Linked DNA regions of Mus musculus: region 2 is reported to be linked to region 1. Evidence: microRNA targets listed by miRTarBase, many of them from high-throughput screens and not tested one by one. Region 1 holds a microRNA gene; the other region holds the end of a gene's coding sequence.
Evidence for each region. Region 1 holds the annotated microRNA mmu-miR-199b-3p (ACAGUAGUCUGCACAUUGGUUA, at 1,110-1,131, opposite strand). A microRNA usually pairs through its seed, bases 2 to 8, with sites in the 3' UTR of a target mRNA and lowers its output. Matches are read on the target gene's strand: a 7mer-m8 pairs with bases 2 to 8, a 7mer-A1 pairs with bases 2 to 7 and ends in A, and an 8mer does both.

Region 1 (4,392 bases):
TCCAGTCTGCCTACCTCCCCCACTCTCCTTCACCTCCAGGACAGCTGGAAACTGACCAAAGAAAACTTTTGCCTTCGTTTACAAATTCCTGTTTTATCAGCATCTTTTTAGACAACGTGCCTTATCATTTCAAAGGCCCAGGACAAGTGAGAGCCTTGTTAAAAAAAAAAAAAAAAAAAAAAAAAAAGATGGGCCAGCAGGCTCAGCTGACCAGCAAGTATCAGCCATTCTTGGATTTTAGAAGAACAATTTCAATGTTATCTAGTGAGCCCACTAAAGACAGAGCGCTATTCCCCTGGCCTGCTAAGTTGCTGAGTCAGTAAGATGTGGGTTTGGCACTTGGGCCCTCATCTCTGGCTAAGTGCGTTTGCATTGTCTGATAGTAAAATAACAAAACAAAAAAGCAAAAAACAAAAGACTAGACTGCTTCTTATCGTTAGGTACTATTATTTCTGGTGTTTCTATTATATAGATAAACAGAAAAGCTCCCTGTTCATACAAGAGTTTTGAAAATTGCATTTTTTTCCTTTAGGGCAAAATGCATTCATTCCTGGAGTGTTAGAGGTTGCATACATAGCTCATCCATGCTCGAGTTTAAGTCTCTGAATTATCAGTTTCAACCATTCAAAACTAAGTCTCGTTCAGTTTTTGCTACTTGTCTGGAGTGAGGTTTTTTTCCCCACCTTTTATTTTGAAGCGGAAGACCCTTACATTTAAGAAAGCATTTGAACGATCAACATTTAGACTTATAAAAAACACACAGAAAATCACAATTTACCATACGACCTTGCTCTTTTGAAAGTTAAGTTCACGGTTATCTGTCCCTTAGCTCAGTGTCTCCAGCGTCTTCACACAGGTGATGGGATCTCTATCTAGTTCCCCAATCACAGACCAGGTACGCAATCCCAGAGGCCTTACCCGCTGGTCTTCCCTGGAGCAGTCCTCTCCCCTGGCAGAGTCCCTGAGGGCTTCTTGGTCCCTAGTTTGCAAAACCTGTGAAGAGAAACACTGGATATGAGATTCAACAAAGGAGCACCCAGCTGTCCTCTCCTTGGAAGCAGCACATTGTGTCCCCAGCCGTCCATGGCGTTGCTGGCCCTTGCCCAGTCTAACCAATGTGCAGACTACTGTACAACGGCATTGTCCTGAACAGGTAGTCTGAACACTGGGGCGACGGAGCAGGATCTCCTGAAGCTTCCATCGGTGTGTGGAAAATCCTGTCCCGGGGCTGGGGAGAGCCTGTCTTCCTGCACCAGGGGCTTGTTCAGCTTCCCCCCTGAACCCTGTCTGCTGCATCGACTGAGACACACTAAAGGGCTGTGATTTCCAGTCTTGACGTGGCACATTTGCAGCAGACTAGGGAACTGGCAATGAATTTAGGACCAGGAAAAGGGGGAGGGCTGGGCTGGAGAGTCCATATATGGGATGATGTCACCCTGGGGAGGTTTGGGTATGCGCTGTGCCGCTGGAGAGACCGCTAGAATCGCCTGCTCTCAGACATGGGTCTGTGCATAAAATGGTACCAGATGTTTTCGTGTAATGTTAAGCAGTCATTTCATCTTCAGGCCAGATTTTTTCCCTCAACTGGGCAGGAAGTGGGGCCCCAGTATGGAAAAGCTGTAAAAAAAAAAAAAAAAGGCAAGATGTACAGTTCTGCTGTGGCCAACCGAAAGTGAGTTGAGAGTAGAAGTACAAATTTGTTGCCTGATCTGGGCTGAAGAAGTAATTTAAAGATAGAAAGATGACAAAGCAGTAAGCAGAAAGTCAAACACTGTTAAGCAGGCAAACTTCGAGGCCTTTTTTTTTTTTTTTAACTTTCCTGCGATACTTTGTTTTCTTGTATTTTACTCCTTAGTGAGGTCAGATAAGTTGGGGCTCCCCCCTTTCTTTTCCTCCTCTTCCCCCTTCTCCCTCCTCCTCCTCCTCCTCCTCCTCCTCCTCCTCCTCCTCCTCCTCCTCCTCCTCCTTTTCTGCTGGACCTGTCAGCAGCTTGCAGGCTGCTCTAGACTTGAGCAGTAATTACAGCAACTTCCTGAAAGTGAAGCCCCCATGAAAAGTCTGGAGAAATGCTCTTTGTCATGGCCTCTCCATGAGTAATTAGTTCCATATGTGGCCTTCCTCGTCTCCCTCCCTCAGCTCTCTTGGCTGGCTCTCTGCATGCCGTTCTATAGCCTTACCTAAGGAAATGTTAAAAAGTTTAGACTTCAAGCACCCACACTGCTGTACCGCTCTTTTCTGAACATTTCCCTCTGGTAGAGCCACACGGTTAAGGACAGCATTGTTTTATCCTGCTGGCTACTCCCAATTCTGTTTGAATACTTTTGTTTTGTTTACATGGTGTTCTGATGATGAGGTTTATCTCTGGTTAAGTAAATCTGTTGAAACTGGCCCAGTGAAGCTTGACCACTTACAAACTCTCAGCTCGCTTGGCCTCTAGTCCTCTGTCCCAGTTGTTAACTGTTTCAAATTATGTAGGCTGTTGAATGTTGTGAACATGAGGTCCCCTAACTTGTTTTCCACTGTATTCTGATTGATATTAGATTTTTGTCTCAAATAAGAGCTTTATCAATTGGCCTTGTAGAGGTCACAATGTGGGAGATTTTCTAAATCTAACTCACAGGATGAAGGGCTATAGTATTTTTGTAAGAATTAGAGCCCGAACAACTTATTTGTACCTGCCTTCTATGACACTTTTGAGATGTACAAATCTATATTGGCTGTTTCAAAATGCTTCAAGTGAGAGCCGCCTTAACTTATTTATTTTTTCCTAACATGGTTTCTTTTAAATTGATGTACCACAAACGGTTCAAAAGTGGTCCCAAGCCCTTGTGAAGAAGATTAAGTCAGAGTACTTTATCTAGAAGCTTATGATAGAGCAAAGAGGTTTATGTCAGGTTAAATACACCAGGTTGACACAGGATTAAATAGTTGATGCAAGCCAGGGGAATGCTTCCTATTAGTGTCTTCTTACCGGCCTCCTTCTCCTTCTTTAGGGACTATTTGAGAGTGGTTAGGGGAGCGCAGTGTGAGTCAGCTGCCGTTTCCCTCAGGGCTGCTACGTGATTACTGGAAATGATGGAAGGGTGACTAAGTGTGACCTAATGGTCTGATTGCAAGAGGATGCTGCTGGGTCCTCAGTATGTCTGTCGTACTAAGTCCTACAGAAGGCATGGGCTGGTGAGAGGTGGTTCACTTGGAATCCATCACTCCAGGTTAGGCCTGCTTCTGCTGCACATAGTGAAGGCCTTTCTTCTGCCCACTTCAGTTTCTGTCCATGGAACAGGAGTTGGCAAATGAAAAGTGGTTCTGACCAGACTGCTCTATGGTTTTGTCTCAGTTTACACAGCTAGACCCTCTCAATGGTTCTGCTTACACCAAATAAAGACTTTATACCGTTTCTGTAAGGGCCTAAATTTATGCTTTTAGTTAAGTTTTTTTTTAAGCATCATAAGGGATTTTCTTCAGAAATTCTTATAAAATCATTCACTATCTACTTTAACTTCCAGTGGACTGTTTTCTTTTGAGTTGTCCTTGCTACAGATAGCTGGGGAGGGCGGGTGCAGATCTGGTCTTGTCCACTTGTGTGCTTGCCCAGTAGGAAGGACTAGGCATAGAAAGGGAAGGAGCTTGAAGGACCACCCCCTTTCACCTTCACATATGTTAGCAATGTTAGTGCTCTCACTCAGTGAGAAAAGCCTCCACGCTATTGTAGGAAGCCCCACTTTGGGACTGGCTTGAGGACTTTTCCATGCCTGTAAAATTACCAGTCAAACACCCGAGATGTATGGGCCCAGATGGCAAAGCGAGCCATCTACACTGGTCTTCGGATGTTTTAACATCAGTTATTTAGCTTCTTTGTTTCGAAAGCCATTTGTCTGAGCCATGCCCTCACTTTGAGTGACTATGAAATTTACTCAACTTTAAAGTGTTATGGAAGCATCCTTCCTCTTGGTCATCATTCCCCAGATTGGCTAATTTTAATAACTCGAAATACTTAGATTCAAAGTTGGTGTCTCTGTACTTGGACCAGAGCAGAGTTACTAATGTTCACAATTATTTTTGTCTGTGATATCTAGATATGCAAACCTCAATGATCTATGATTTAGCTTGAAATTATTGTATTAGAGAACTTGTGTACAAGTTAACTAAGTAAATTGACCCTCCAGCTTCAAGCATGTAAGCTAAATGCTCTATCGTGTGCTCAGGCTCCAACCCAATGACAGTTAGCTCCATCACCTGAGGCTTCCTTCTTCCTCACCTTGTCCGCCTTCCCAAGCTGGTGGTGTGACTCCTTCCGCTGCTTTTGCAGTGGTCGCCTTTGGAAAGAACAGGTCACACACCGCGCATTAGTCCTTTAATATATCCGTGTTATGCGCTTGGAGTGCAGACATT
Region 2 (4,392 bases), not on the chromosome of region 1:
CTCCTTTCTACCAAAGAAATGTTGCTAAATAAGTTAACTTTGACTCATTGACCCCTCAGATCAGCTAATAAAGATGAATCATACAGACCATGGCTTGCTTAAGGGGCAGTGTAATCATTTTACTTAAAAATGATGTCAGGTGGTAATTTAGCAACAAGCCCGCTTCCAGGCTATCTAATTCCATTTAACAAGGAGGAAAAACATTGTAATTAATGAAGAGCGTATACTTTTGTTCTCAAATTTTACTGTGTGTAAGCAAAGGGGGAAAGGAGCAGAGGAGAAAGCTTGTTGACAAATGTAGATTCTAAAGTCCAGTTTTGGTGAGTTCTGATCCTATGGGGTCTTGAGCTGGGCTTGGGGTTCTGCATTCAAAAGAGCAGGAGGCCTTTCTTATCATGACAATCCCACTTGCATTTAGTTAGGTTAAATATCCTACTGCCTCCTACCCCAACCCAGCCCCCAGTTGTCTAAAAACTTGGGACAATGAGAATAATCGCCACCACCTTCAGGGTAATGCTTTTCCAGAATTTCATGACATACCCTAACGTTAGGATTTTAGCTAGTGAGATTCGGGACTGGAACTTTTCTCTGCCAAAGCTTCTTTAAGAAGGGCTAGAACATCTCCCAGAGTCCTCTCTTCTACCCCCTGACCCCAGCATACCCGGGCTTCCTTCTTTCTCCACAATTAAGATCCTGGCTTTGAGCCGTGCCCACAGGAGTCTGACCTATGCCCTCCCAGGACTCCATGTCGGGGACCAAAGACTCGTCAAGACAACATCCGTGAATCTCAAGATCACTTCCCTCCTGGAATGAAGGCCTGCAGAAGCTCATTAACTCCCCTCCCCACCCCCCCCCCTTGGCACAAAACTACTTGGCAGCTACCCAAGGAATTCTAGCGTCCTGCAGAATCCAAGTTTACAAACCACCAGAACAAGGTATTACTTCAGAATGCTATTGGAATCTGGTGCTGTCTAACGAGAATGTCTCCTGGCTTATAGGGTCCCTGCTTCTCCCTCTTCAACCCCACCTTGCAGAAACCAGCTGTCTGCTGACAGAGATTAATGACAAGGTATTGCTACACCAAGGTAAGATGTCGTGGGAATCTAAACTCATCACTAGCTGCTTCCTTCTGAAGTACCTCGTGAGGCACCCAAACAAAGCACTGTTGGATATAGCTTAGGGATGTTAAGAGACATTGAATCCCTTGATAGTCTGTCTATGCAGAGATATTTGGGACATTTAAAACTCTTCATCCATCCTGAAATGAGCTACCTAACTGAGAATAACCCCTAGACTGTTAGAGAAAACTTCCCTGTGGGGGATGGGTACAGGAGGAGGGCATATCTCTTCACCTTTGAGTGACCAAGTTTGTTAGACCATTAAGTCCAGGGGCTAGTGGGCAGGCCTGGATGCTAGGTTGCTAAAGAGCATTCTGAGAAAGGTAACCTTTGACTTCCTAACCAGAAACAGGGAACTCCTGATGACTCTACACGGCTGCTGGAACGTGTCCACATGGCTTTCACCACAACTCATCCCTTGCCGAAGAGGAACCAGAGGCCAGCTTCCTGCACCTCCCAGTGTGGGAACGGGCAAGGCCCCTGGAGCCACAGGGAGCTATGGCTTTTGCTATTTACAGATATTGAAGGCAGTTTGATCTTGTAACACGCCCCGCCCCCCTTGGAAAGTCGGATACCCAGCTCCTAAGGTCTGCGTGGTAAGGCAGCCCAACACTCATTCCCTGGGCCAAGGTGGTGACTAGGTGGACCCTAACATCAGACTACCCACGTTGTGGCAAAGAGACCCTCTGGGGATAAGCGTACACATAAAGCCATAGGGTGTGGCGTATAATGACAGCAAGGAATCACTATTAATCCAATCCAAAAAGTGAGAAGGCGCCAAGTCTCACTCCTTCAGCTCAATGCCAAATCCAAGCTGTTTAAACCACTGTTTGTGCAATGGGCATTCCCTGTGAGTGCTCCGAAACCATTCATCTCCACACTGCAATCCAGTAGCACTATGTCAGCAGTATTCACACTTGTCAAATGACAAGAGAATCGGGGGCTCCCCCACCACAGCTCGCACCTACACAGCAGCCTCACGGGTTTTTTGAGAACTCAGAAATTTTGCTGTTTGCTTCAACCCCACCCCCACCCACACCCCCACCCCTTTCAGATGCTACATGGAGCAGAATGAGCAGTGCCAAACAACCACAGGATGGAAAAACCAGCAAGGATTCCATAAGCTCACAAGACTCCACACTGTTCCATGTTTTCATACAAAAAATTTAATAAATATTACTTTTCAAAATTTATTGCCAGGAACAACACATCAAAGATGTATTTTCTGTTCATATAACACTAATAGAACAAACACCAAGTATCTCCCCAGTCCCGGTGGTGAACCTGGATCACTCTGTTTTATAAGCCTTTTTTTTGATCTTGAGCTTGGTAATAGCACTTTGATTTCCTCACTTAAGGCAGGCAGTGTACTCTACGGCAAATCTAAACAGTGATCTAACTGGACATTTTACGGTTCAAGTATTCAACTAGCTTATGAGAATACTCCCTAAATGCAGTAGACAACAACAACGAAATCAAGTCTACAAGTGGTTCAGCATTACATAACGAATGGTGAAAATAAATCAGAATTTACAAAGTAAGATTGGGATGCTTCCAACTTCACACAATTAATTTGATATTTGTAATGAGATTCAACCAGTCACTTTCTGGCTACATAAGTCATATAGCTCAGTCTGTTCCCTTAAAACTGACTGCTCTGTAGCAGATCGCCTGCCTGTCTCTTTTCAAGTCTAAAGCAGGAAAGAAAGAGGAAAAAAAAAAAAAAAAGAAAGAAAGAAACCTGTTCTAGAGCAATTCTTAATCTGCCTCAGTCAGTCCTTAAAATGTGTCTTAAACTTAAAGTGATGCTATCAAGGAAGTGTTTCAACACCTGACGTCGTACAAAAAAAAAAAAAAAAAAAAAAATTCCATCAGTATTCCCAGGGGAAAAAGCCTATCCCATCCTTTCAAGAGAAACTATTTCCAAACACCTTAATTTTGGCTTACAGGCAACACGTTATGAGAAAAGTTCACAAAAAAAAGAGTCATATGCTTACAACACTATCAAAAACCTTCAATTCTAAACACATACATATAAATAAAAAGGAATGATGTTTTAAGGCTCTTGATTATTAAGTTAATAAATCAAATATACACAGTGATTAATAAAAAAAGAATTATTTACATAACTATACAAAAATTCTACTTTGACACATTTTTCCTCTTTAAATTCTTCATTTTACCAGCAACTGCTGACATCAAATCCCCCCTCCCCCAACAACAAAAATACAATAAAAAAAAATAAATAATAAAGTCATTTGTGATAGTTGCTGTGGTTCTGAGCTGCAAAGGCACTTTCAAATACAGAACTACTCGAACGTCATCATAAAACCAATATACAAAAACAACTCAAGAGTCAATAAATATAAATAAAACTATGATCCTAAGGCTGCCATCACCATTAGGACCGCTGGCAGATGTGGAAGCTCCAGGCCTAGGGCTGGGCAGCTCCTGGGAGCCCGATGTGTCTGCGGCAGGGGAATGGACACCAGGGCACATTCACTAGTTTTTGCATAGCTGTGAGAGCGCTGCACTCAATTTCCCAGCCAACCACAGAAACTACCAGTGCCAGTGGAAGCCAGCTTGTCGAAACTTAAATTAACACAGGATTCTAAGTCAACAACAGCCTCAGACTGGAATAGGACAACAGTTTAAAGAAACTACAAGCCCCGCGGTGCCCTCAAACTCTACCTATGGCGGCAGCCCACTGTCTGCTATACGATGTATTCCATCCGGTTCAAGCTCTGGGCACTTTCCAAGTCTCTGTTGTCCTGTTTATTTGTCCAGTTCGGGTGTTTTGTCGGCGTGCCGCTGGGGGCCTTCTCCTCTCTGTCTACCAGCGTATACACTGGCTGTTTGGCAAAGCGGACTTTCTGCTGGTGTTTATCCATGTCATCCTCCTCCACTTCCGAGTTGTGTGTCCTGATTTTTGACATTTTCGAGTTTTTGTTCTCGTAATCCTTAATGGGGACCGTGTTGGCTCCGTGTTTCTCGATGGGGTTTTTGATTTGGTTCAGCTGCTCCCGCACATTGTTGGTGGTGTTGTCCTCGGGGGCGGAGTGAGTGTGGCTGCTGGGCTTCCGCCGCTTCCTTACACACCAGTAGAAGGCTGTCACCAAGCAACAGACCCAAGCCACTGTTAAGACAGAGCTCAGCAGAGGAACCAGGAAATCTGGAAGACAAGCCAAGGACCAGTTAACTCAAGAAGAGCTATTGCCATAGGAACAGAATGCCAACAGTGGTCTTCCTGTATTCGGTCCCTAAGAGGGGCACT

Region 2: the mRNA of Jag1 is a reported target of mmu-miR-199b-3p. The part of its 3' UTR that is shown has no 7-base or 8-base seed match.

Annotation. Positions count from the first base shown.
Region 1 is chr1:162,214,622-162,219,013 of GRCm38, reverse strand. It overlaps Mir199a-2 (microRNA 199a-2), which reads right to left and starts at 1,200; the gene lies at 1,091-1,200. All of the region lies in intron 14 of Dnm3 (dynamin 3), which reads left to right. Dnm3os (dynamin 3, opposite strand) reads right to left here and starts at 1,391. Exons shown (of 1, transcript NR_002870.2): 1 at 1-1,391.
Region 2 is chr2:137,079,192-137,083,583 of GRCm38, forward strand. It overlaps Jag1 (jagged 1), which reads right to left. Exons shown (of 26, transcript NM_013822.5): 26 at 2,260-4,290. The coding sequence ends at 3,833. It also overlaps a transcript of Slx4ip not described here. Among named protein-coding and RNA genes, the nearest start is that of Jag1, 35 kb to the right of the region's middle.